4 linked regions of the Mytilus edulis genome follow. The protein of the gene in region 1 purifies or fractionates together with the protein of each later gene. This does not show direct contact. Links are inferred from orthologs where the notes say so. Each region holds a gene or a part of one and is shown in the gene's direction. Other genes may lie near its edges. The genes, in order: DNA-directed RNA polymerases I and III subunit RPAC1-like, DNA-directed RNA polymerase I subunit RPA43-like, DNA-directed RNA polymerase III subunit RPC4-like and DNA-directed RNA polymerase III subunit RPC9-like.

Evidence for each region.
Region 2: the proteins of DNA-directed RNA polymerases I and III subunit RPAC1-like (region 1) and DNA-directed RNA polymerase I subunit RPA43-like purify together in Homo sapiens (affinity purification with mass spectrometry; 3 studies listed by BioGRID and IntAct, counting the BioPlex papers as one, with this or other methods). This does not show direct contact. The link is inferred for Mytilus edulis from reciprocal best matches to the Homo sapiens genes POLR1C and POLR1F.
Region 3: the proteins of DNA-directed RNA polymerases I and III subunit RPAC1-like (region 1) and DNA-directed RNA polymerase III subunit RPC4-like purify together in Homo sapiens (affinity purification with mass spectrometry; 6 studies listed by BioGRID and IntAct, counting the BioPlex papers as one, with this or other methods). This does not show direct contact. The link is inferred for Mytilus edulis from reciprocal best matches to the Homo sapiens genes POLR1C and POLR3D.
Region 4: the proteins of DNA-directed RNA polymerases I and III subunit RPAC1-like (region 1) and DNA-directed RNA polymerase III subunit RPC9-like purify together in Homo sapiens (affinity purification with mass spectrometry; 5 studies listed by BioGRID and IntAct, counting the BioPlex papers as one, with this or other methods). This does not show direct contact. The link is inferred for Mytilus edulis from reciprocal best matches to the Homo sapiens genes POLR1C and CRCP.

Annotation. Positions count from the first base shown.
Region 1 is NC_092346.1:91,463,951-91,471,345, reverse strand, and holds the start of DNA-directed RNA polymerases I and III subunit RPAC1-like, read left to right. Parts: upstream 1-4,395; 5' UTR 4,396-4,492; coding exon 4,493-4,555; intron 4,556-5,562; coding exon 5,563-5,634; intron 5,635-7,006; coding exon 7,007-7,114; intron 7,115-7,395. Other genes in the region: AP-2 complex subunit sigma, read right to left, coding at 782-883, 1,655-1,828, 2,325-2,474, 4,310-4,312. UniProt on the Homo sapiens protein: DNA-dependent RNA polymerase catalyzes the transcription of DNA into RNA using the four ribonucleoside triphosphates as substrates.
Region 2 is NC_092350.1:28,387,087-28,394,138, forward strand, and holds the start of DNA-directed RNA polymerase I subunit RPA43-like, read left to right. Parts: upstream 1-4,034; 5' UTR 4,035-4,201; coding exon 4,202-4,392; intron 4,393-7,052. Other genes in the region: cytoskeleton-associated protein 5-A-like, read right to left, coding at 1-81, 869-1,062, 1,557-1,613. UniProt on the Homo sapiens protein: Component of RNA polymerase I (Pol I), a DNA-dependent RNA polymerase which synthesizes ribosomal RNA precursors using the four ribonucleoside triphosphates as substrates.
Region 3 is NC_092352.1:32,783,647-32,791,311, reverse strand, and holds the start of DNA-directed RNA polymerase III subunit RPC4-like, read left to right. Parts: upstream 1-4,656; 5' UTR 4,657-4,801; intron 4,802-6,176; exon of another isoform or gene 6,177-6,179; 5' UTR 6,180-6,188; coding exon 6,189-6,268; intron 6,269-7,260; coding exon 7,261-7,383; intron 7,384-7,665. Other genes in the region: tyrosine--tRNA ligase, mitochondrial-like, read left to right, coding at 39-164, 1,148-1,191. UniProt on the Homo sapiens protein: DNA-dependent RNA polymerase catalyzes the transcription of DNA into RNA using the four ribonucleoside triphosphates as substrates.
Region 4 is NC_092344.1:6,443,860-6,451,174, reverse strand, and holds the start of DNA-directed RNA polymerase III subunit RPC9-like, read left to right. Parts: upstream 1-4,296; 5' UTR 4,297-4,440; intron 4,441-6,748; 5' UTR 6,749-6,870; coding exon 6,871-7,305; 3' UTR 7,306-7,315. UniProt on the Homo sapiens protein: DNA-dependent RNA polymerase catalyzes the transcription of DNA into RNA using the four ribonucleoside triphosphates as substrates.

The DNA of each region.
Region 1 (7,395 bases):
TTGGGATCAGGACCCTTCCTACACCTCCTCATCTATGCAACTGATCCAGAGGCCTCTTCAGTTTCATTAGGGTCTTACCAAAATGCTATTATAATAATTTTTCTTAGCTGCAATTAGATTTTGTATATCTAAATTTCCTTCCCTTTCTGATAGGTATATATATATAAGTACGTCTGAGTCAGTGACAACTCTACACGATATCTCAGTAGCATGGGTTCAAATCCCGGCGAGGGATGATAAAAAAATTTGCAAAAGCAAATTAACCGATCTAACATTGTTGGGTTGATGTTTAGACGAGTTGTATATATATATATATATATGTAGTTCTCCAGTAACCATGAAACACGAAAACATGCTGGAGGATGCAATAATATCATGTATTTACATTAACAATAACTAGGTGAATTTGGAATGTATCATTCATATGAACAATATCTATTAACGTTCTCATTATTTTCATGTCTCAACAAAACAACATTTTGATAATATAATGATAACTTTTATATAATACAACGAAATAAAAAAAGTTCTACACTTTCCACTCTAATCACTTCTAGCTTTTTTCTGTTTTTTTTAGGCAAAAATCACCTTGCAATCAGATACTGTCCTCAGAAACATTACTTGTTGTTTTACATATGGATTATGACATCTTTATCTAAATAGCCAATTATTGTAACATTTCTGTTAAAAATAACCAACAAAGTTCATAGTAATAAAATCATACACAATAAATGACATCTGTCTACAACACTTTGGTCTATTAAGTCCTATAACATAGTATTTACTCTAATGATGATAACATAAGAAGTTGTTTTAAAACTTTTGTTTGACTTGTCTCTCGAATTTCTCCTGCTAAAAACATCTCATCCACTACACTGTAAACCTAAAAATAAAACAAAATAAATATAACTGAAGATCGAAGTTTCCCATTAAATAAACTGTTGACACAAAGATATGTCTTGTCTGTCAGCAGAAAATTCAGGAATAATCTTATAGATAGCTACAATCTTATTAAATCAAAGCTGCAGGACCATGACCTAGGACAGGGCCTCAATATGGTTGACAAACTGGGATTTTAAAACATTTAAACTGCAGCATTTGTTTGCACCTGTCCTAAGTCAGGAACCTGTTGTTCAGTGGTTGTCGTTTGTTGATATGGTTCATAAGTTTTTCTCCTTTCTTGCTTTTTGTTGTTGGTTTTTTTTTCTTCTTTTTTTTCTATAAAGATATGATAGATTAGAACATTTGTTTTCCTGATTTCACTGTACAGACCCTTATAAATTGTATGAAAACCATAGAAACCAATTACTTAAAATGTTGAGGCTCAACAAAGAGGACACATAATATAGAAAATAAATAGTTAAAACTTCTTAATGGAAATTCTGTAATTGCATGACTTGTTCTGTCAGTTACAACATCATGAATTTTATAAGATTGATAGATTGATTGTTGGTCTTTAATATCACTTACAGCACACTTGGCTAAGTCATGGTGACAAGCTTTATTGGTTGAGGAAGCCGGGACCCAAGAGAAAACCACCAACTTCAAAAGGAATACTGTCATTCATATATCTATTAAGATCCTTTTATTCAACTTGTATAATTATGAACACAAAATAAAGGTTTTATGTTGAGACACAATATAAATACTTTACCTTATAAAAGTTGAATACAAGATCTAATTCACAGACATTATGGAAATATTCATTAAGCACTTCTACAAAATTGTGTATTGCCTCTAAGTATGCAAGATTGTTGTCGTTTACATCAACACAGATACAGAAATATAAACCAGCATATCTTCTGTACACAATCTTAAAATTCCTAAACTGCAAAAAAAATTACATATTATTATACACAGGTATATCTATTACAAATAACCCTTTAAAATACAAAAAAAAAACAATCTTTGGATTGCTTGAACATAAACTACAGGTAAGCATTCATTATTTTGTACATTCATTTTGGCCTTTAGTTTTCTTCTTTAATTTTTTTTACATTTGTCATTTCAGGGTCTTTTATGGCTGACTTCCCAGTATGGGCAATCAATGTTGAATAGTCATGATAGTTGTTAATTTCTGTGTCATTTAGTAACTTGTGGTGATGTTTTTCATGTATTTCAACTGGTAATAAGTGCTAAGTTTCAAGTTGATGTTTCAGCATTTTTAAGATACACCACTTGAAACTTACTGTGTCCATTGTTTTTCAAGAATTATATTGCATCACACTGATCTTTTAGTACAAGAGACCCTTCAAAAATAATTGTTTGTTTATTCATATGATGGGTATTGTACATGTGCTAGTATCACACAGCATACAATGTACCTCTACAAAATTAGTGTGTTTAGCATCACGGACAGTAACAACAGCATGCACTTCTTCAATTAGTTTCTGTTTTTCATCATCATCAAAGTGCATATACCACTTAGCCAGACGCGTTTTGCCAGCCCGGTTCTGTATCAGGATAAAACGAATCTAGAAAAAATGTATTGTAAATTTACAGTTAATACCATAAAGTTAAATAGCAGCAAAAGTTTAATATAATAGCTTCATTAAATTACTTGAGCAGACTGCTGGACATTGGTCAACATCCTGGTGTTATTTTTCACAAGACCAGTAAAGATAAAAGTATCTTATGAACCTTTGAAGTGGAAGTCAGATGTCATAGATTCCCTGTGCCTTTGTGAAATTGCCTCTTGAATAATTCAGAATACACATAACTCTAAAATACAGCTTCAAAATATATAGGTACATACATGTACATGTAACATGTCCTTTTAATATGTTAAATTTCAGCAATCGTCAAAATGGTGTGCATAATTGATGATTTTTTCAAGTGGTGGACATAACTTGAAAGTGGTCTATCCAACCAGTAAATGTGCGACATGAATTTGGTGTAACAGACCCAAGGCTCAATTAGCGCACATGTAGGGTCTGAATGTGTTTGTAAGTGAACAGACAGATACCAATTTAAGGTAGCACAATACAAAGATTTTTTCACTCCCAATCAGACAACTTTAAACTGATGTAATTCATTTCATCCTTCTTTATATTTTATAAATGAAGTACCAAAAGAAAGAAGAAAGATCAATCTTTCAAATTGTGATAATTTCATTATGACATAACTATTACATAATTAATTATTATGTAATTAGTCGCTATATTTTGATGTCCACACTTGAATGAATTTAGCGTCTTTGTTTTTCATAGCATCCCAAAATATTTTATAGATTCTTGTACAACACAGCTTGACCTCCAAAACTGTGTCTCAGATTTCCAAAATCATCAATAGAACAAATTTTATACTCAATTGAACTAAGTGGTCTCTAATGAATTGATGTTGCAAACTTCATTGAAGATTTATGAGAGAATGAAATACAATAGGAAAAATCTGAGACACAGTTTTGGAGGTCAAACTGTGTTGTGCAAGAATCTATAATTTTTTTTAGGATGCTATGAAGATATGTCTTAATGAAATTATCACAATTTGAAAGAATAATCCTTCTTCTTTCTTTTGGTACCTCATTTATAACATTTAAAGAAAGATGAGTGGAATTACATCAGTTTAAAGATGTCTGATTGGGGATGAAAAATCTTTGTATTGTGCTACCTTTTATGCACTAACATAACTTACTTAACCCTTTTGCTGCCAGATGTTTTTCAGGGTTGCATTCATATGCCAGAAAATATGACCGCTCGACAATGTGACATGCCAAACAATGATGTCATTTGATATATGATGTCATGCTGTAATGACCGTTACATTTGAGAGTCATTGTAGAAACATATTACACTTTTTAAGTTTCAGTCTTTTATTTTGAAAGAGGTACAGTAATGATGAGAAGCTAGCATAAGTTAAAACATGGACATATGTGTCCCTCCAGCACAGTCGGTGTGGACACATGTGTCCCCCCGGCAGCAAGAGGGTTAAAACTGTGTGCGCCTGTCAGACAGAAGTAGCCCGGGCAACAGAAGTTAGAACTTTATTCTTTCAGACTTTCTGCAGAAAGTAACGACTCCCGTTTTTTTTAAGAAGAAGCAGAGGAAAAGCATCAATAGGCCAAGAACTCCCACAAAATATTAAATTCCACCACTCAGAAATTGTATTGTAAGTTATACATTCAAATTTTTTTAGCATTGCTGTCAAAAGTGACAGTGTCAACAACACTCAGATCAAAATGTGGATCTCAACTCCGAATACACCTAGCACTATTGCAAGTTATTATCAACTGAGAAAGTGTTACGGCCAAATAATGTGTGTTCAATCATGAATAAATGCCTTAAAATATAATAAAAAGAGGCTGTGTTACCATTTCTGAATAATTTCGTATACCGGAAATGATTAACCTCCCACATTCAACGTCAGGAGAACGTTTTGCACCAAGGAGTTTTACGTTGCTTCAAAGCGTTCAGATGATCTTTATAAAGGAGGACCAGCACATGGAGCTGTTTACAAACATGCATGTAGCTTAGAAAAAATACCCAAGTCTGACATGACAGACCTAATAGATGACGTCAGGAGGAAAGTTACTCTACGGGAGCATGCTGTAGAAAATGTATGTTTTTTCAGCATTTATATGGAACTAGTATACTATAGTAAAGGTTGTAAGCTTCTGGTTAATTTTGAGTCTTATAATTTCTGTATAAAAAGAGGAAAAGATACATGTCCTGATCCTGTTCCTAAAGCTTATAATATATGTTGAAACAATAGACCACTTTCGAGTTCATCCGTCACTGGATAAAACTCGTCAATTATACGTGTCTTTATGAGGTCATTTACCAGATATAATAATCTGATAGAGGGGTCGCCTGTATCCCTGCACTATTCACGTTCATCTAGTCCGAGATTACTCTGAGGTCCAACGGCTGTTTTGTCAGACAAGCTGGGGCCGTGGGACGTCAGAGCTCGTCCCATATCAAAAAGTGGATATTTGCCCACCCAAAATAGATGCGCTGCTTCGTCGCTTCTGGTGCCGACTGACGGCCTTGGAATTAAATAAATCAGGCATCAATCTGTTCATTTTTCATTTATCTTTTCATTTATGTAAGTTTCACCTACCTGCCAACTTTTATTTTTCCATATTTTAACAGTTTTCACAGAGACCCATCGATTTTTCCATTTGCCTTTCATTTTCAAAGATTATCACGTGACTACGAGAAAACAGTGATGATTTATGCAAATGACCATAATTTGTTGAATAAATGGTGTATTTGGAATTAAAATTCGCTATATACATTGTACACAAGTCATAATCACACCTGAACTTTGTCATTATACAGGGAATAACACTATGAAATTCAATCATCGGCCAAAAAATATATAACTACAAGTAGTCTCTGGTTGTAGTAAGAAAACCAGGACAGGTTCAAACAAAGATTTTGAAAGCAGAGAAAACTGTGTGCACCTTTATAATCAGCATGACTTTATCAAATGAGTTAATGACCATATGAATACTCAAAATAAATTCAGTCACAGACCTGATAGGTTGTGGGTGTGTAATTTATGTTAAGATACTTATTCTAAATATGTAATAAAAACATAACTCATGAATTATATTTGTAGACACATAGCTCTGACTTTCCTGGAAATTATGAAGATTATGATGACTCTTGGAGTCAGAAAAAATTTGAAAAGGTAAGATTTGTATAGGTTACTGTCCGGCCTTCAACAATAATTGAAACCCACACCTCATAGTCAGCTATAAAAAGCCTCAAAATGACTAATGTAATGCAATTCCAAAGAGACAACTTACTGCCTGATTTATTTACAAAATAATAATGAAATACAAATATGATATTTAGCAAAAAACATCAACCACTTAATTACAGTTTGGGACAGGCACATACAATGTGGCAGTTAAAGTTGAACTAGTTTTAAGGCGCCAACCCACCACTAAACTTGGACAGTGGAATAACAGTACACCGTAAAATTAAAAACAAGCAACAAATATAAGTTGCAAAGTATTTAAAAAAAAAAAGAAGTAAATTATAGTAAAGCAAAGACATTAAACTAATGAAACAATGCATTTTACATGTACAGTCAAACCTGATTAAACCGGACCCTGAATAAACCGGCTTCCTGTACATTCCGGCCGAAAATGAAAGTCCCATTTTTTTTCCTTCAAAGTCTTTGTTAAAATACCCTTTGTAAACCGGACCCTGTGTATTCCGAATTCCGGTCTAATTATGAAGTCCCAATACTCTTAATTACATTAATTATTACCTGTCAAAACCGGTTTGTCTAATTAATTTCACTGATCGATATGCAATCAAAACATAATTGTTTACTTTATACAATATGACTTTTCAGGATAATTAATCAATTAGTCAGGTGTTAAACTGTGAAGTGAACTTTCAATCGTACAGTAGTGAGCTGTATTATTTATTAAAACATTATAAACGTGTCAATTAAACGACAAGACACACCGAATATATCTCGGATTTAACTTACGTTTTGTAACGTTAACTTGGATAAACAAATTTAAATCGCAGCATAAGAAATTTACAACGTGATGTCGAAACCCTGGGTTCCCTGCTGTGAACCCCTAAACAAATGACCTTGATAATGAAAACCACCCAGATGACAACAATCAATGGGTATAGTAAACTGTACGACAACGTTTCAATAGTGATGAGATTACGTTTGATAATATTCTGGCTTTTTGATCGGCCATTCCAACATTTCAAATAAATGATCATGGAAGTAAATCGAAACTCTCGTCTCACAATCCAAACAACGCGAGCATTAGGATGCAAATGTAAACAATGGAAAACGAAGTGAAAATATTTTAATTGATCAGATATTCTTAACTATCAAAGAGAACTTTTATATGCAAACTATCGGACGTCACAAGTCATTAACTTCCGGTCGATACGGAAACCTGAATAAACCGGCTCACTGCCCAAACCGGCCCTTTTTCATAGTCCCGTAGCCGGCCGGTTTATACAGGTTTTACTGTAGTTTGTTAGAACAAGGTTATAGTTGTAAACCAATTATACTTTTTTAGAAGTTCAGAATTGATATGGTAAAGATGAGCCATGATGAACTTGAATTTGATATGGTAGGAGTAGATGCTTCTATAGCCAATGCATTTAGAAGGATTCTTCTTTCAGAAGTAAGTAAAAAATAGCAGGTTACAAACTCACACTAGTAATGCTTCTATAGCCAATGCATTTAGAAGGATTCTTCTTTCAGAAGTAAGTAAAATATAGCAAGTTACACCCAAACTCACACTTGTGTAGACACGTTAGGAGTTATGCTTCTACAGCCAATGTATTTAGAAGGATTCTTCTTTCAGAAGTAAGTAAAAAATAGCAGGTTAAACCCTAAATCTCACTAGTGATGCCTCTTTAGCCAATGCATTTAGAAGGATTCTTCTTTCAGAAGTAAGTAATA
Region 2 (7,052 bases), on another chromosome or scaffold:
TCTGTTCCTTTATCTTTGGTCTTTTGCCTTGGTGCACCAAGACATTTAGCTATCACACCACTTACTACATCAGCAGTTACTCTGGAAATAAAATGTAAAATATTGTAAACCTTGTGTCACTATCGCACATTCATAGTTATGCTATAGTCTCCAAAAGAAAAATGCATCCAATTGTAAATAAAAATATCATTAAAACATAAACACTCCCAGGTAGGGACCAAAATCCCTATAACCAACTAATTTCCTTGACGCCTTCAACAATCATTGCAATTTTTTTTATATCATGTTAAATACAGTAGACAAAATATTATCCAGTTAATTTAAGCAAAGATTTTTGTGTCAATAACAGTGTAGATGTATTAGAATAAGAATATGGATCCTATTGAGTGCTAGGAACCGGATGTTCAGTGGTTGTTGTTTGTTGAAGTGATTCATAATTGTTTCTAGTTTTTTAAATAGATAAGACCATTACTTTAGGTGTGAGCCAAGGCTCCTTGTCGAAGACTGTATCTTGACCTATAATGGTTTACTTTTACAAATTGTGAATTGGATATTAAGAGTTGTCTCACTGGCACTCATACGACAAATTCTTATATCTATAGATTAAAATGCTCGAAGTAAAAGTCTAAGTCCTGAAATCATGCTAATATGTTTGCAAAGAAATTTTGTAAGATACTAATTTTACCAATCATATGATGAAACAAAATAATTTCTGAACTGAAATCTAGTATTTATGATATTTCAGATTTAGGGCCTTTGTCAACAAGACAGCTATCAAACATCACAATAAATCCATAGATGTCATGATACCATAGAATGGTGATATAAAACTAAATATTATCTTGTAGTTATACAAAAATGATCAAACCTGGATGCTACAGCAGCATTCTCTACAAATGCTAGAACAGCATCCAATGCTTTTTCTTGAGCCACAGCATTGGTATCAGTGACAAACTTCTTCATAAGGCCAGCATAGCGCTGGAATTCAGGAGACTTGGGATCAGTCTGTTGGCTAAATATCTTTGTAACTTCTTCATATCCTGCTAGACGTGCTTTCCATGTCTATAATACAAAAACAAATAAGTTAATTTCCTCCTGTAACACTAAAGCTTCCATTTACACTTCCCTTTCAATCCCAATTGGTAGGTAACTCAGGTCCAAGCCAGTTTGAATCCTTCATAAGGTAAAATGATACTAATAGTTTTGGCATTGCAGTCTACACCATTTAGTGTTAACCACTAGATGGATGTCCCAAGACTAATTGAATATCATTTTTAATAGTAAGTATTTGTAAATATTTGTTTATAAACATAAGAAAGTTGTCTGAATATTGGTCATCTGACTTGTAGTTGGAAAAGAATTTGGTGCAGACTGGCATTGCACTAACCTGCTAACATGACCAAGTTATGCTTTTCTAAGATTGCTTTTGATGTTGTTACTCTAACTCTGTTGAATGTGCACTAATTTTTGTTTTAGTTTGGGATAACATAAATTTTATATGTATATATAACATGCATAACCTACATGACCTATATCTTTGTAAAGTTTAATTTTACCTTATGCTGGCACTTTTCTTCAGCAGGAAGTTTCAGCCATTCACTGTCATCTCCCATTATGGATTAATAATACTCCTGGAAAATACAATGTCATGAATGTTTACACATGTTAGAAAAAAAATATTGCTTTGAAGGAATATACTGATATTTACATGTAATTAATATGATTCTATCGTAATTTGTAAATATTAAGATTTCAATGACACAACTCTGTGATTAATAATCAATATGTCAATAAGACTGACATATTCCAGAACATGAAATCAGGGAGGGTACATGTATTTCAATGCTAGGTGCTTTTACAGTTTATTTGTGCTTCATATTGATTTATTAAGTAAAATATTTTTTACAGTTTGTTCTGATGTTGTGATGCAACACCAGGCATGGGCAGGGTTGTGTGCTCACAAACATGTTTAACCTCACCACATTATTTATGTTTATACTGTCTCAAGGTTTGAGTCCTAAATTCAGTGGTTGTTGTTGGTTCATATTTCAAATTATTTGTTTTTCATAAATTGTACAGTATACCATGTACACATTAATATTATTATAATTTAAAGTTTTATTGTTTTTATCATATGTTAAGTAGTAAATACAGTAGTTTTGCATATTTGATAAATAGCCTGCTGTTTAATCCATATCGCGCAACTCTGATGCGCACCCTTTATCGCATACCCTTTATCGCATACCCTTTATCACACCTCTACCCTTTATCACACCCCTACTTTTTTTTTTTTTTTTTTTTTTTATATGAAGCATGTAAAGTCAGTTTTGTTTGTTTTTTTTTGCTTAAGAAAAATTTTCCTCAAAATAGGTCAATTTTTTGAATGACGTCATTGTTTGGTATGTGACGTCACGAACGTCAAGTTTTCATATTGTATTTGACGTCAAGAACGTCAAGTTTTCATATTGTATTTGACGTCACGAACGTCAAGTTTTCATATTTTTTGGCACACTAATTGCAACTATAAAAAATACAAAACACACAAATAAATACAATAATAAACATTTTTTTTTTAAACAACAGCACGCAAATTGTAAGGTAGCCCAGGTGCTTCGGATAAGTAATTGAGCAGTACTTTTGAAAGCCTTTGAAACAAGACAAAAGTAGAACTGAAGGTAACCCAGTGCTATGGATCAGAAAACAGTTCATATAATATAATACTATTCTGTTGAAACATATGATAAAGCGTATAATACATGGCAAAATCCGTATCACATGCCGTATCACCCTCGACCAATATCATCCCTCGGGCCTAAAGGCCCTTGGGCTGATATTGATGTCTCGGGATGATACGACATATGATACAGATTTTGCCATGTATTATTCTCTATGTATCGTTATGTCTAGGCCTTTCATGAATATAAAGTATGAGTTTTTTTTTTTTTCATTACTGTAGACTGTAGGGTTATAAGTTAACTATAATTGCTTTTATCTCTATCATTTAAACCTCAGGAATTTTAATTGCTTAGCTTGAGGCGAAACAAGGGAACAGCGCCTAAGGCTCAAAATGTTAAAACTAAAAAAAACTTCTCTCCTTCAGATTCATTTGAATCCCCCATGTCTAACCCAGCAAAGCAATGAGAATGCACAACGTGCAAGGCGTGAAAGCGAAAAAGTATAATAGCCTTTCAAGATGTCATAATTATTTGTCAGCCATTACTGGACATCACACAGGTTCCTGTAAATTTTTTATATCATAATAAAAATATCTGACGCCACAATGGAAAAGTAATTGTTGTATGACGTCAATTGTTCAAGCAATACAAATTTTCGGTTCAGCTGGGAATAGACCTTATTGCTATTCTCGACTGAACAGAGAATCTGTCTCTCTCAAACTATTTCCATTGTGGCATCAGATATTTTCTATTATAACGTAAAAAATTTACAAGAACTTTTGTGATGTCCAGTAATGGTGGACAAATACACCTTATCGCTATTCCCGGCTGACCCGTCCGCTTGAACTTTTGACGTCAACAACAATCACTTTTCCATTGTGGCGTCAGACATTTTGTTTTATGACGTCAAAATTTTACGGGAACCTGTGTGATTTCCAGCAATGGCGGACAAATAGCGATAAGGTGTATAGCAATAAGGTGTATAGACTATAGGCTATAGACTGTATGATAAGGCGGATAACAAATCAGGTCAACACCTCTCCAGGAGAAAATACAACATATATTGCTATTTGCAAATGTTGTGAGTTTATTTCATTTCATGATCTGACAGTAAACATATATTATGAATCACTGACATCAGATTATGACAGTTGGCAACTTTACAAGTAAGAAAAAAGGGGACCTGCAAAAACAAAAGGGGATATCAAAGCAATTTATCCTAACAGTTTCAAGTGGTGATTTGGTAGGGATCAAATCAAAAGCATACTTACATATATGCAATATAAATATTTAGTTATCTCATATGAGCGCTGGATTTGAATGGTAAATATTTCGGTCAACCGGAAGTTTCGTGGCGCCATCTATAAACTTGGATTAACTTATAATTTTACTTTAATTAGTTCAGAATAGTATTTATACATCAATATTCTTAGGGTTTTTTTTAACTCAAAAAAAATATTCAACATTGACCAATTTTTCACAAAGCCAAATTTTGTCACACACTTTCGCGAACTCTAGAAAAAAAAATGGCAGCTTCCATGGAACATACACGATTGACATTTTCCGAGGCAAAATCACTAATTTCAAAGTGTTCTTTTTCCCATCTTGAAGCAGTTTCATCTAAGCGACATATTGTTTTACCCCCGAAGTTTTTCAACAGTATTTTACAAGGAGTGAGAGAACATCTCAACTCAGAACTGCAGTTAGTTGCAAGCTGGTAAGAACTCGAAGTGGTTTGAATACCTCCCCCCTTTTTTTGAAAATTTTCTGTGGACCACTTTTATTTTTTGCAATGAAATTTTCTACAGTTACAACTTGTTTTTACCTTAAAAATTGAGACTGTAAAAATGGGAAAGAATTTACAGAGTCCAAATTACGAATGTAAACATGGCTGGGACTATACATCTTATTGCTAATCCCAGCTGACCCGGCCGCTTGAACTTTTGAGCATACATCAATCACTTTTCCATTGTTGCGTCAGATATATTGTTTTATGACGTCAAAATTTTACATGAACCTGTGTGATATGCAGTAATGGCGGACAAATAGCGATAAGGTGTATTATAAATTTATTATACCGTACTTAAGGGTCTGCAAACTGAACAATCTGTTGAGATTTCATTGCCCCAATAGCGGATTATTGATTTTTGTTTTGGTTGACAGCGTATTGTGTCATGTAGTAAATTAGCATTCGGTACATGTAAACAATAGATTTCGGCAAACAAGTCAGCATATATATAGAAAAACAGTTAAAATTGGTGGACTTGAAATAAAGAATAATTATTAAACAGGGATAGAACTTAAGACTTTGGCAATTGTAGCCCACAGCTTAAAGTTTGTAGCCCAAATATAGTCTAATTTACAAGAAAAGCAGAAATTTAAGCAGCCCACACTAAATTAGAGGGGCCATTGGCCTGTGGGCCTCTGCTAATTTCATACCCTGTAATAAGCTAATTAGTTTAATGCAAAAACCAGATATTGTTTACGAAAAAATATTAAGAAGTAGTCAATATAGTAATGTTGAAAATAAACATGATAAACCAGATATAGTCGAAATGCAGCACTTTACTTGACCGCTAAGATAACAACGTGTCAAAGGTTGTCAGATCATAAATAATCCTGATGAAAACAATATGTGTGCAATAAAAACAATGTTGACAATTTCAATTCCTAATTAATTCATATAACAAAAGTTACCCTGGTCTCATGAAAATATAGCCACATTGTTTTAAACTTTTGTGAACTTCGTGTTTACACCAAAATTTCAATATGGCTGTGCATCATCGGGCCTACTTTTGTAGTTGTAATTGTGGAACCTAGTCTATTTTCACGAAGTCATATGCTTAATGCCACCTGAAGACCATTACTAAGCAAAATTAACCCTGATTATAATAAAATATTGCACACTTAAAAAGGAGTAGGCAATTTTGTAGGAACAGTAAAATTTATTTAAGCCGTGCATGTGGGTTCCGGTTGTAATGAGAAAGAGATATTTTTCCACTTGTCACTTTAAAACGACAATAAAAATAGGCAAATCCAAACTATAACCTATGAATATGATTTCACAACAAACCCAACTTGGGTATCTCTTTTCAATCAAAAGTTATAAGAAATTTAATTAATCATCTCCTTTTTTCCACATCGTTCCCACGTCATTTTCATCCTGAAAATTTCAATCTTTTTGTTATTTCTTACACTTAAGGCGGATTTAGTGATTAATAACAACTGTTAAAGATCGAGGTAACTTTTATCATTATAGTAATCAAGTTGTTGGCATGACACGGGTTATGTTCTTCTCATATATGTTATGATCGTATGATACTAAACCCCTAACGGGAAGGATTGTGCCTGATGTTCATATGATGAAATCATAATCTTTCAGTCAGTTTAATTGAAGTCTGGAGCTGGCATGTCAGTTAACTGCTAGTAGTCTGTTGTTATTTATGTATTATTGTCATTTTGTTTATTTTCTTTGGTTACATCTTCTGACATCAGACTCGGACTTCTCTTGAACTGAATTTTAATGTGCGTATTGTTATGCGTTTACTTTTCTACATTGGCTAGAGGTATAGAGGGAGGGTTGAGATCTCACAAACATGTTTAACCCTGCCGCATTTTTGCGCCTGTCCCAAGTCAGGAGCCTCTGTCCTTTGTTAGTCTTGTATTATTTTAATTTTAGTTTCTTGTGTACAAGTTGGAAATTAGTATGGCATTCATTATCACTGAACTAGTATATATTTGTTTAGGGGCCAGTTGAAGGACGCCTCCAGGTGCGGGAATTTCTCGCTACATTGAAGACCTGTTGGTGACCTTCAGCTGTTGTTTTTTTCTATGGTCGGGTTGTTGTCTCTTTGGCACATTCCCCATTTCCATTCTCAATTTTATTATATTAAGGATTATCATTTCTAATAACTATAAAATAAAAAAAATAATTTCAGAAATTATAAGATCAAGGCACGCTTTCACTATCAAATCAATATGGCGTATCCATAAATAGCGCAGGTAAAGTCTCGTTCTAACGACTGTGATTTAGATATTCTGATTGGTGTAATGGTTTCCAGTCCTGTTAGTATGATAGTCCCAGAAACATGGTAAATCTTTCTTCGTATTTCCGAACTCAGTCACAACTTTAACTAATTTGAGGCAGGCATTACCTGTGAAAGGGGATGAAGTCTATGATTTTTTTTCAATTCAAACATAATTTTAACATGTTTAACTTTAAAATCTGTTTAAAAAAAAGAAACGGAAATACCTTGACTTTTCTGATTTTTGTTCTGTTGATTTGGATTTTAGTTGTAACATTATTTGACCTCATACTCAATGTAAACAAAGATATGAAATCATCAGGTAACGTTTTTTCATATCAAAGAACTATTA
Region 3 (7,665 bases), on another chromosome or scaffold:
TATAATCATAAATCAGAAGATTTAAATTATTTTTCTAGTTGATGCCAATAGAATTATAACAGATGGAGGTGTATATGTTAACCATGGACGTGTCTCTAATCCTGACACAGTACTTTTACCAGGGACTCATATCCTAGCCAATAATATCACTTTGTTGAGGATAGGTAGGTTGAAAATGAAATTAATATGGAAGGTTATTACATTGGTTTTAATAAATACTTTGATTGCCCATTACATCAAACCCTGTTTATTACACATGTGAAAAATATTTAAATTCTTGGAAATGTTATTGTAGAAAGACTTTTAACAGCAAAAATCAGAGTATAATGTATGTGTACATGTAAAATTAGGAAATTGGGAATATGTCACAGAGACAACAACTCAACCAAAAAACAGAAAACAGCCAAAGGACCCCAGTGGGTCTTCAACACAGTGAGAAAATCCCGCACCCAGAGGTGTGCTTCAGCTTGTCCTAAACAAAAATGTGTTCTAGTTAAGTGTTAATTGACGTCAGCCTAAACTCTGAAATATATAAATGAACTAAGATCAAAAATCAAGACTAACAAAGGCCAGAGACTACTTACTTGGGACAGGCAAAACAATGCTGCTGGGTTAAAATGTCTTTTGAGATCTCAACCCTCCTGGTATACCTCTAGCCAATGTAGGAAAGACAAACACACAGCAATATGCACAGTAAAACAAATTCAAAAGAAGTCCGAGTATGTGTATATTTGGTAATCACTATCAGCAGGTAAATATAATAATAGCATATGTTGGAGTTTTCTTGCAAAAAAGACACATCCATATATCAAATGGTAAAAAGATAATACATAGCAAATAATTACAGTTGAAAAAAATGTCAAGAACTTCACTGAACAAGGCACACAGAAAAAACCCAAAACAAAGGCAGACACATGATACTGCCACCAAAGCTTGGAGTGTGTCAGGTGCTCTGGAAGGGTTGAAACAACCTGCTTTACAAAGAAAACATTTTGTATTGGCCAATGGTCAGTTTATACTATTTCCAAATGATGAAGTGAGGTTAACACCATAGGTACATGATAAGATCGTGTCATAATGTCACCACTTTGATGACAAAAAGTCAAATTGTTTTTATGAAGTATTTATTTTTCAATTTTATTTACAGGTAAAAAGAATCATTACATTATAGAATGGCTGTTTCCAAGTTGACAAAGGACCAAGATGAAGATATGAACAAAATGTTTATTTATATTAAATGATTTTATTGACAATTATCCTGTTTTATTCATCATGCATCATCAGATATAACATTAACTTTTTGGGCCAACTTATCCACATTTTTAATATGCCTTTGAAGATATAAAAATAAGGAGATGTGGTATGATTGCCAATGGGACAACTATTCACAAAAGTTCAAATGAAGTCAATGTAAGCAATTATAGGCAACTGTAGGGCCTTCAACAATGAGAAAAATTACAAATATATTTTCCTCTGTTCTTTTTATATTCAGTAAATAAAGGTAGATGTGACTAAATGCATACTATAAACAAACATGCATACAATATTTTTGAAAGTAAGACCTTTTACTTTTAAATCTATTCATATAGATGCTTTACAACATTCAGCAAAACGATAAATGGCATTAAAGACAACTTACTAATATACTTTTTTTTTTTAACTTTCTCACACTTCTACTTTGGCTAAAAATAGAACAAAGTGGTTGAATCCAAATAATTATCTAGTCAACATATACTGTTTAAAATCCATCAAACTTATTAATTTATTGTTCTTTATTGGTTATTTCTATGCATTTTTTTCGTATTTTTATGCCCCCGCCACAGTGAAAATGATTTTTTTTTGCTAAATTTGTCTTCCCCCCACTCTAACTTGAGTTTGCTCCATCCAAATGTCATAAAAATTATACATAAAGCTTATTACCACCAAACACAGATCAAGTTTGAATTTGAGTGGGGTCACTTTGCTGTTCTTGGGTTGTGTCGCTTTTGTAAATAAAAAAAATTGCAGAACTTGCCGTGTATTTACAAGCAGAGGGAACTGTGTCCTATTGACACATTATTCATTTATCTTATTTATTTCATTTGAAAACATTAATGAATGGAAGCAATAATATGATAGATATGAAAACAAGCAAATTAGATCGACAAATCATTTCACTCGTAGTCAAATTTGACTACTACTGAAGGGAGGACAACTTGATTTTTTGGGGGCTTTTAGGATTTTTTTAACCTGTTGTTTAGCTAAATTTTACATGGCCAGATAAGTGATACCCTTGGAGCTCAAGGTATAAGAAAATGAAAATGCCATTGGTTTTTGATAAATTTATGAAATTTTCACACACACATTTAGGACCCAGTTTAATCATTAGAACCAAAGTAGTTCTGCCTGCCTGAGATTTTATGAAAGGAGAACAGTTGCAGTACACCCGCAAAACATTAAATACTGACAAAAAAAGAAGGAAATTATTTATTGAAGAAAAACATTTGCAATTGTTAGTTGTCTAGACAGTTTGTGGTACCTACAAGCTATAAATGTCATGAAGCAACAACTATGGATTCCAAAAATTACTGAATATACTTTTCTAGCTGACATAGCAGAAAAGGTCAATTTGGATGACATTTATGTCTACTTTTGAATGATTGTCAATAGACCTCAATAGCTATACATCTGGATACAAATACAAGTTCATTTATATTCATCATGAGGCAAAGAGAACATGAAAGTATCTCACTGGCCATTGGACCTCCAAAGTTTCCACATACTGGTTTATCAATGAAACAGCTTTTCAACACAGATAAGCATGTAAACAACATCAGAGTGAACTTTTGAAAGTCATCAGACAATAAGGAGTCAAAGAAATTTGGTATTTTTTTTCTCACATTTTTGAATTTCAAATTTAATTTTGAAATTACAAATGTACAAGTTACAAACTGACGATTTATGCATTAAGAATTTAGAAATTACATAGTTACAAATTACAAATTGACAAGTTACGAATCACGAATTTTGACCCCGTTGGCTTTCCATACAGATACCTATAAGATGTCAGTTTTGTGAAGTAGAAACGAAGATTGAATGGAAATGTCTGGATTGTTCATTATTGTTGTGTAATAGATGTAAAGAAAAATTTCATCTAAAAATTAAAAGTGTCAGTGATCACAGAATTATAAATATAAAAGATGTAGGGCTGTGTCAAGAATCGTCGGAATATTTCAAACTCAGTGACATTAAATGTCAAAAACATAATGGACAGGTCTGTTGTTTGTTTTGTCAAACTTGTGAACAATTTATCTGTCTGAAGTGTCTGACTAAAGTTCACAGGGGTCATGATGTAATGGAAGAAGAGGAGTATAAGGCAGAAATGATCAGACAGGAATTCAAAAGAGAGAGTAAACTTGAGAGCAAAATAATCAAGCTAACTGTTTCAAGTAAACCTCAAGTAACGAAAACTGATAAAGCTAATATCAAAATTAAAGTAGACGCAAAATTTGTTACAGATCTTAGTTGTATTTATTGTCTGGTTTCCTGCAAGGATAGATCAGTTATGATAGCAGACAACCGGAATACAGTTCAACATATTAAAATTGAAAAAAACAAAATTGAGGTTATATCACAGTTTAGTATGATTGTTTGGGACATGGCAATCAAGACTTTCTCACTAGTTAAGCCTGGGGTCAACTTTTTTCTACTTGAATTTGCCCCTATGCATTTAAAAAAGAACCAAGGTCTTTAAGCAAAAGCTGTGTAAGAAATACATGCTTAAAAGAAAATATTTTACCTTGAAACAAAATTTGGGATAGGAATGATCAGTTTGTAAACCAGTTCTACAGTATTTTGTTCCGTTGAGCATAAGTTTGCTTTTCAATAAAGTCATTGTGAGAAAATGGTTACTGCTTAACACAATGAATTTTTTTTTTTCTTTCGCTGTGCTCACAGGTAATAAAGGTTCTCATTGTGGAAAGTGACTAATATTTTTAATAAGATATTAATGTGTAGAAAGCCAAATAATTTATACACATGGCACTCAAGCATCTACATAATAGTTCTAATGCTTATCAATGTCTAATAATGTTAGAGCATAAGAATATCACTTGCAAACAATGGCCTATAGATCTGTATTAAAATAGTTTCTGCCAATGTAGGCACATCTCCAATGGAGTCATATATAATAGTATCCATCACCACATAATATTTATACGCAAATAATGTTTAATCCAATACACAATGATATATCAATAAAAAGACTTCTTCTGTTCGGCCCCCGTCATGTACAATTAATATATAATTTACAATAAAAAGATAAAAATATATCTTTAAATTTTAATCTTTAAACACCCTATATAAAAAGGTGTTACCTGGTTTATGAGTGACATCAAATGGATTACTCTAAATGCCACAACATTGAACAAACTAATATTAAACTTATTTTTGAAAATCTTCATATATGTTCCAAGGGCGGATCCGGCCATTTTAAAAGGGGGTCCAAACACAGGACAAAGGGAGGGATTCAAACTATATGTCCCCATTCAAATGCATTGATCGTCCAAAAAAAGAGGGTGTTCCAACCCACGGAACCCTCCTCCTGGATCCGCCAATGCGTTCAATAACTGATAAAATTATCCTTCGGGAGTGCTCCTCAAATAGGAGGAACATAACAGTGAAAAGTAAACAGATGCGTGAATAGTCGCTTCTTTCCCAGTTCCAAAAAATACCCTCCACGGATTGGCCGATTGCACCTGTATTCGATATTTTTGACTTAAGAGAGAGATCATAACTATTTGGTACCATTTGAAAGTTTCAGGTTACTAATACAACTTACTATGACCCCCTTAGGTCAGTCAGCGAGCCCCCTTATGAAAAGTTCTGGATCCGCCACTGTTCTCAACTTATATTCAATTATTTGAAACCTCTCAAGTAAAAATTATTATAATTTAGTGAATCAAATTGTAACTCTGCAGTCTGCTCCTGTAAGGCGCCTCCTTACATAGGTTAAAATGTCATGTTAAAAATATTACCCCATGTCACCTGGTAGGTTTAAAGCAAATTTCAGATAGAATTTTTTTTAATTGTGTAATGTTATTTTAAAATTAAGAGACATCAGACTCCAACCCCCAAATCTGCATCTGTTCTCCCAAAAATCATATTCACTCCAATTCATGATCACTCCTTTAATTTTCCCATCCCACACCTTTACACTGTAGCTCTGTTTTTTCTGGCCTCTCAAAGGCTTTTTGTGGAATTATTTTGTATTCATGTTTAGTTGGTGTATCATGTGTATTGCTATAAATATAGGGATATCATATTCATACCTTAACACTGTATAGCTTCGTTTTCTCTGGCCTTTCAAAGACTTTTTAACCGGATTTTTGTGACAAAAATGTCGGTTATTGATTTGGGGATGTACGGCGGGGCGGTCGGCAACCAAATGTTGTCCGTGCATTTACTCATGAACCGTTCAACCAAAGCTTTTCAAATTTTAATATGTTGTTACTGATGACAAAATGGAAAATGGCATTTCCAGTCGTGTCCGTGCATTTACGCATGAACTGTTCAACCAAAGATTCCCAAATTTTAATATGTTGTTACTGATGACAAAATGGAGGTCAAGTTCAATAATGACGATTTTGACTTTTACTGTTCAGGAGTTATGGTTCTTGAAAGATTGAAAAATGGCATTTCCACTCATGAACTGTTCAACCAAAGCTTTTCAAATTTTAATATGATGTTACTGATGACAAAATGGAGGTCAAATTTGATATTGACGATTTTCACTTTCACCGTTCATCAGTTATGGTTCTTGTGATATTGGCAGGATACAAATAAATGTTAATAAATCCGGTTTGCTGTCGTTGTGACAGCCTCTTGTTGTTAAATAATTTTGTATTAATGTTTTACATGTTTTAGTTGGTGAATTGCTATATAAAAAAGGGACAATAAGTAAGGCTTCCTTTTATCATGTTTACAGAGTTTTGTGAATTATTTTGTCCATAATAAATTCTTGGCCCATTAGGGATAATTGACAGTTTTAAATTTCTCGACTTTGTATGACGCATGTCGAACAATCTTTTCGATCCAAATAAATATACCTTTCTTGGAAATTGCTTTTAAAAAGAATTCTAAGCCTATCATGGCTGTTCAAGTCACAAAGTTCTATAAAACAGGTTTCCTTTTCATTTCAGAGTTGAGTTATGGCTGAAGGCAGAGATACACCAGATCTACCTAGAGGGTTAATTGATAGAAGAGGAACTCCATTAGGAAAAGGAGCAAGGTATTATATATGTTATTTAACAGATTTGTAGTAAGGTTTATATTATTATTATCATAACTCTCTTGGGTATATAGAAGATTTTCACACTTTATTTAAAACAAATATTTTTACATTTGATTTATTAAAGTGCATTTTAAATTAGTTTTTATTTGACTGGTAAAATTAAATTGCACACAAAATAAAACCATATGACCAATTTAAATGTGAGCATTAGATACTATAGAATGCTTCAAATATATGAAGTGTCCAGTAAAAATGCCATTTGTTTATTGGTAAATTTCACATAACCTGCAGTAAGTAACTTCGACCTTAACACCCACACTTTGAATTATACCAGTACATAGATAATTTGACACTTGAATTACCAATCTGCCTATATATTTCAACATCATGTTTTTTTTATTTTTTACAAATTGCTTTGTTTATGAAACTTAAACAAAGATAATCTAACTAGCTAATTTTCATATTTTCTTTTAGCATATCTATGTGTAAGATATAAATTGCTTGACCATGTTGACACAGTACTAAGGGGTTAAATTGGTTTCCACACCTTATAAAAAATGTTTGTTTTATATTAATCTCCAATAATAATTTACGTAGATATGAGAAGATATGGTATGATTTCCAATGAGACAACTCTCCATCCAAGTCACAATTTATAAAAGTAAACCATTATAGGTCCAGGTACTGTCTTCAACACAGAGCCTTGGCTCACACCGAACAACAAGCTATAAAGGGCCCCAAAAAATTACTAGCGTAAAACCATTCAAACAGGGAAACCAACGGTCTAATCTAAATAAAAAATGTGAAATGTCAACATCAGTAATGACAACTACTGAACATTAGATTCCTACATTTTGTATAGAGACCTAATATTCTTTGCCATCTTTTTATTTGTTTACAATACATGTATTAAACTATATTGAAACTATAATAATATCCTTGATGTTACTATTTGAGCATTCACAATGTTCATTTTGCTTCAATTGCAGATTACCCTCTTTAAAAGGACCTAGAGACTTAACTCTTGGAGGAATTCCTAAGAAAGTATTTGCACCCACAATCCCGGTACGGAAACCAGCTGAGCAAAAGGATAAGAAAACAGATCAGTCCAAGTAAATATAAGCAGTTAAACTGTTCATTTGTGAATCTGCTGTATGTTCTAGAATTTTTGCATTTATTTATAATTGTGATTGTTGAAAAGAATAACATTATTTTTTAACCTCATGATTATACAGAAAACTGTTTGGTATATAATATGATGTAGTTGATTAACACGTTGTTTATTTATTTGGTTGCTTGTCTCCAACACAGAGTCATCGTTTTATTTGTTAATACTTGTGTAGAAAACACAAATTAAAGGAGTTATCAGTTGTACCTCATTGAAGTAGCAACTG
Region 4 (7,315 bases), on another chromosome or scaffold:
ACGGCGGCCATGTTTTTTGACGGATCAAAAATCAAAGCACACACTTTGTGCAGGATAATCTAAGGAACAACCATGCTAAGTTTTAACCAAATCCATTCAGTAGTTTCAGAGGAGAAGATTTTTTAAAGTTAGCAAATATGATGAACAAATTGTGAAAAATTGTCATTAAAGGACAATAACCCCTTAAGGGGTCAATTGACAATTTTGGTCAAATTGACTTATTTGTAGATCTTACTTTGCTGATCTTTTTTGCTGTTTACAGTTTATCTTTATCTATAATAATATTCAAGATAATGACCAAAAACTACAAAATTTCCTTAAAATTACCAATTAAGTGGCAGCAACCCAACAATGGTTTGTTTGATTCATCTGAAAATTTCAGGGTTGATAGATCTTGACCTAATGAACATTTTTACCCCATGTCAGATTTGCTCTAAATGCTTTCGTTTTTGAGATATAAGCCAAAAACTGCATTTGACCCCTATGTTCTATTTTAAGTAACGGCGGCCATGTTTTTTGACAGATCAAAAATCAAAGCCCACACTTTGTGCAGGATAATCTAAGGAACAATCATGCTAAGTTTTAACCAAATCCATTCAGTAGTTTCAGAGGAGAAGATTTTTTAAAGTTAGCAAATATGATGAACAAATTGTGAAAAATTGTCATTAAAGGACAATAACCCCTTAAGGGGTCAATTGACAATTTTGGTCATATTAACTTATTTGTAGATCTTACTTTGCTGATCTTTTTTGCTGTTTACAGTTTATCTTTATCTATAATAATATTCAAGATAATGACCAAAAACTGCAAAATTTCCTTAAAATTACCAATTAAGTGGCAGCAACCCAACAATGGTTTGTTTGATTCATCTGACAATTTCAGGGCTGATAGATCTTGACCTAATGAACATTTTTACCCCATGTCAGATTTGCTCTAAATGCTTTCGTTTTTGAGATATAAGCCAAAAACTGCATTTGACCCCTATGTTCTATTTTAAGTAACGGCGGCCATGTTTTTTGACGGATCAAAAATCGAAGCGCACATTTTGTGCAGGATATACTAAGGAACAATCATGTTCAGTTTCATTCAAATCCATTCAGTAGTTTCAGAGGAGAAGTTGTTTGAAAAATTGTTAACGACGACGACGACGGACGCCAAGTGATGAGAAAAGCTCACATGGCCTTTTAGGCCAGGTGAGCTAAAAATGCATTTTATAGCAGTGTTTATGTGAATTATAAATTTAAATGTCTATGCAATCATGTTGGTAAATAAACACCCTACAGGGTCAAGTCATTAACCCTTAGGGTCAAGTCATTAACCCTTATAGAAATGAAAAGGCTGAATATTGTTATATAAACATATCAATGTCCTAATCTGAATAATTACTTATTAATTAGTGATGTACATATAAATTATACAAAAGTAATTTTTCTTACATTTTCTTGTTAATTTTTAATGTAAGATATACATGTATACATTTGAAAAATGAATTCTTTGAATTTATGTTAACAGTTTGACCAATCTAGACGAGAGGGTGATTTAATAGACTTTCAGAAGAGAATTATTGATAAAGGCCTTTTCCATTAATATTTGTGTAATGTGTGACTACATATTTACTTGTCTCATAGTTGCAAGAATAGTACTTTTTAAATGTATTATCACTCTCAAACAAGTAAACTAATTTATAAATCAAAATGTGTTTATAAATATCTTAAATGTATTGCAATTGAGTTTAAATTTCAGGCAAGTATTTTATATTACCCAGTATTGCCCAGTATTACCCATTAAAACCCAGTAAAACCCGGGTTTTCCCAGTATTTCCCACTGGGCAGGGCAATACTCATAAAACCCGGGTTTTTGCCAACCCTGAAAAGTATTATTAAATTTGTTTGTAAGATGTTGTTTCGATGGGTCTTTGCTTATTTTTGTCATAAATTGTAACTCATAGCAATACAAAAACAGGTCCGCAATAAGTGGTGCACAGTTAGTCCCCATTGAAATTCCGATAATCTGACGATATACGGAATGTAAAGAATATTTTTGTTAACAAACATCAATAAATATATTCTATTAGTCTATGCATATCAAAGGGAAACTAATGAATTGGTTGCAGCAATACAAATATTTGGCAAATATTTCAACACACTTAACCCTCTTGCTGCCAGAGGGACACATATGTCCAGACCGACTGTGCCATAGGGACATATATGTCCATGTTCTAATTTATGCAAGCTTCTCATCATTGATGAAATTCTTTAAAAATTAAACAAGAGTGCACACACAGAAATGTCTCGCCTTCTTTACTAATCATTGATATTATGTTGATACTCCTAAATCTAAAGCTTTATTACAACCGTCACATAGACTTAACATGAACCATGAAAATGAGGTCAAGGTCAGTTGAACCATATGCCAGGCAGACATGTACAGCTAACAATGCTTCCATACAACAAATATAGTTGACCTATTGCTTATAGTTTAAGAAAATAGACCAAAACACAAAAACTTAACACTGAGCAATGAACCTTGAAAACCAGGTCAAGGTCAAATAAAACCTGCACGACTGACATATAGATCATAAAATATTTCCATACACAAAATATAGTTGACCTATGACATATAGTATTAGATAAAAAGACCAAAACTCAAAAACTTAACTTTGACCACTAAACCATGAAAATGAGGTCAAGGTCAGATGACATCTGCCCGCTAGACATGTACACCTTACAATCATTCCATACAACAAATATAGTAGACCTATTGCATAAAGTATGAGAAAAACAGACCGAAACACAAAAACTTAACTATAACCGCTGAACCATGAAAATGAGGTCAAGGTCAGATGACACCTGCCAGTTGGACATGTATACCTTACAGTCCTTCCATACACTGAATATACTAGACCTATTGCTTATAGTATCTGAGATATGGACTTGACCACCAAAACTTAACCTTGTTCACTGATCCATGAAATGAGGTTGAGGTCAAGTGAAAACTGTCTGACGGGCATGAGGACCTTGCAAGGTACGCACATACTAAATATAGTTATCCTATTACTTACAGTAAGAGAGAATTTAACATTGCAAAAAATCTGAACTTTTTTTTCAAGTGGTCACTGAACCATGAAAATGAGGTCAAGGACAATGGACATGTGACTGACGGAAACTTCGTAACATGAGGCATCTATATACAAAATATGAAGCATCCAGGCCTTCCACCTTCTAAAATATATAGCTTTTAAGAAGTGAGCTAACACCGCTGCCGCCGCCGCCGGATCACTATCCCTATGTCGAGCTTTCTGCAACACAAGTTGCAGGCTCGACAAAAATTAAAAAGTGCAATATGTTTCTGCAATGGCTCTCAAATGTAATGATCATTACGACATGACTTCATATATCGAATGACGTCATTGTTTGGCATGTCACATCACAAACATGATCATCGAGCAGTCATGTTTCCTGGCACATGAAATGCAACACTGAAAAACATATGGCAGCAAGAGGGTTAAACATATTCTGTTCAGATAATAAACATTATGCACTAGACAGCAAAAAAGGAAAACAAATAAAATCAGGGAAGTGGACCCAGGGGGAACATGTATCAGGGCGAACAGGTACTAGGGCAAAAGCGAATCAGGGCAAACCTGAATCTAATCGAACATGAATCATGGTGAACGGACCTGGATTCAGTCATCGCTGAAGAGTTACATGAACATGTATATTTAGTGAAATTGTTATGGAGGATCTGTAAATGAGCTATAGAGGCAGGTGACCGCTGAAACAAGGTGACAATTAAAGCAGGTTTAACTGTACAGTTAAGGACGATCTGGTAAATAATATTTGGTAGAATAATAATTTTACAGATGACATGATTCTAATGTTTTTGCTACTTTTAAAAATATTAGATAAAAATTTTGGTGTTAGGCATGTTTTTACCGTAATTTAAAAAATCAGCGTTAATGCATTTTCGAGTAAAATAGAAGAAACTGGTTAACTAATTTGCTGTCAGCATCATCTGACGTCACCAATCGATTTACAGTGAAATTCTAACAAGGAAATCGAGTTTCGCGTTAATTACATCGTATTCCGGATAATTGCTATTAAATTGCATAGAATCAATATTTCCCAACAAAAATTGTAAAAATACATTTATTCATAAATTATAACGCGAGAATATTAAAAAAAAATATGAAGACAGCATTGTTATTGTATTTTTAAGAACAATTGCAAAAGTAAAATGCGTAAAATATTTCGTTGTTTCTCCGTTAATATTTTTAAGATCGATATTTAATTTTCCATATCCGACTTCCGGTCTTTTTACACCTGAATTTGCAGTAAAAACAAATGAAATGTTTAGATTCTGTAAATGAAGTCTGTGTGTCAATATTAGATAAAAATGATTGTTGTCAGTAAAACCACCATACACGGATTATTAAATTTTGTAAGCATCATTTTTGATTAATCAAACATCCTTTAATTAAATGTAAAAATGAGTTACCTAAACGTGTTACAACTCGATTTTTTTAGATTCATTTTACAAAATTCATTTAGTTGTTCAGATTTATACACATTTCAGATTTATAATGAGAGTTTTGTCATATGACGCCGTGGGCCTCTGTGGCAGAGTGTTCTAAGTAGTTACTACTGTAATCGCTAGCCAGTCAACACCAAGGTTGAATGAACTTACAGGTCCGTAACTAGCCTCTTATAATAGTGAAGCAAAATATATTCACCTAGCATAGCGATGTGGAAAAATTTTGGCGAGGGGTCTGGGGGCCACTCAAGGCCGGAAGAAGCTCTGAAAAAAAAACCCTCAAAATCGTGCATTCTGAGGGTTTCCCAGACTTTTTCTTACATTAAAACGAAATCAATTTTTAGCTATTTTTTTTTTAACAATATTCTTGTCTCAATACATAGATTCAGTGTAATTTAAGACTTGGGTTTTACGTGGACAGCTTTAAAGGTAGACCGATATGTAGGATAAAGCAAAAATCGTAATTCTCATTATAATTAAAATCGGATCTGTCTGTTCTTGTCTTGTATTGTGCTTTGTTTACGACTAGATTTAAATATAGTGACAGTGCAGTATTATACTTTAAGTACTAGTTCTGCTTAAGTCGACACTAAGGACCATCTTGACCTTGTTTGAAGTTACTAATGATTCTTTTATTGTTGAAGACCCCCCAGCAACTATCAAGATGAAGAGCAGGAATAAATACTTTGACCATTGATCATTTGTATTTTTCTCTGCATTGACTTTGTGTTAGATTAGGTCCCGTGCAAGTTTACTACACATTTCTTTATTTTTTGTTAAAGGGTCTGAACACGACTTATTAAATGCAAGTTTAATCCTTCAATGTATGAAAAGGTCATACGGTAAAACATTGATGTTTTTTTAGTAGATGATTTGATACCGGAAAATTGGTGGTCTTACTTTAATTTATACCTTGTCAGCTATCTAGTTTTATCTACAAAAAAAAAAAACAGTTTTGTATTCTTTGAAATCAAGTTCAATTCTTCATGCAGAAACGACCATTTTTTTTCTGTGTCCAGTAGCATCGTGTATTCTCAAAATATTTCCTTGCACAATGTCTGGGCATCAGTGGACATGCAACATTGCAAAACCACACTTTTACAAATGAAAAGCAACAATCATACTATCGTCATAAAGTAGGACAATAAATGAACAAAAGACAAACCCAGGACACAGTACAAACAATAGACCATCAAATCTGAAAACTAATAGTAAAATAGAAACATGGATCACGAAAAACATGCAGGTGCGACATCAGAGAGTGAAGAGAACTTGCTTCAGATTGCAAGACGCTTTCTATGAAAACAACTTGATATGAAGACAATCTTTTGTTTCAGTTTTGTTTTTTTAAATTTCCAACATGAGGCATTTGCCTCAATGTAGTTACGGCCCTGACTTATACATTAGTGCCCACCTTAAACTTGCTGTGAGTTGAGAGTTTTTGCTGTTTGTTGAATGGTCACAATGTCACCTTATGATCAACAATAAAAGCACAGTTTTTATGCCTTTTGTGCTTTTTGCTGTGCAGGCCAATCATTTTCACTTTGATTTAATTGTTTTATATCTGTCATTTCGCTCCTTTTATAGCTGACTAGTAGGTATTTGTTTAACTCAGTGTTTAAAGCTGTACATGTGGTCTATAGTTGTTAAATTTTTGAGTCATTTGGTCTCATGTGGAGAGTTTTCTCATTGACAATTATGCTCTATCTTATACCAATATCTTTTCTTTTCTAATATACTGTGACAGGACAACTAGTACTTCGTCCATTAGAACATTTGGTAGATACTAAGTCAGCTGTAAGCGATTGAGCTAAGGAAGTTCTTCTTTAGCTCAGTTGGTTAACACACTGCCTAGTAACAGAGGTCCTAGTTTCGCGTCCAGGTGGAGACGAGCAATTTTGTAATGAAATTCATTCTCTCTGGTTACAATACAATATATTTTAGATTGACTTCTGTCATAAATTATGATAAACAAACAATTAAAGTTAAAGAGTCAGTTGGGAAGTTCAAAATAACCATAATCATGATAGTAGGACCAAAAATAAAAACAATTTAGGATTAGCACTTTAATTTTCTATACATTGAAATAAGAACTTTGTTTCTAAATAAACCTCTTTTTTTTAATTTTAAGTTACTAGCTGTGATTGTGTTGCTTGCCCAGGTATGTATACGTTTAAGCTGCTAGTAGATTTATTTTAATTTTTTTAATTTTCAGTTACTAGCTGTGATTGTGTTGCTTGCCTGGGTATATGTTATAGCTGCTGGTAGATTTATATCCATCAGGACATTAGAAAAGCAGTTCCCAACCTCATAGATTATAAATCATACTATAGTAAAATGGAGGTGAAAAATGACAACTCTGCTATACTGAGTAATTATGAAGTTCTACAACTCCTGTCTGACATTCACACTGGAAGAGGACAAATCAAACCAAACAAGCACCAGAAAAACCTTGCAACTATTACCTATGAAACTGTTAAATATCTAGAAAATACACCTTGCAAAAATCAAAGTCCAGAACTTATTCAAAACATCATGACAGATTTGCAAGCATTTAATTTAACAAAAGCAGAAAAACTACAAATTTTGAATCAGTGCCCAACATCAGCTGTTGAAATTCAATTGATTATAGAAGAAAGTGAAGAACGTTTAACAGAAGACCAGATTTATCAGCTGTTAGAAATCATAACAAAATATAACGTAACAAAAGAAGCATCTAACGCTGGAGATGAAGAGATGGAAGACGAGGACGATTCTGTGGAACAAACTTAACTCATTTACA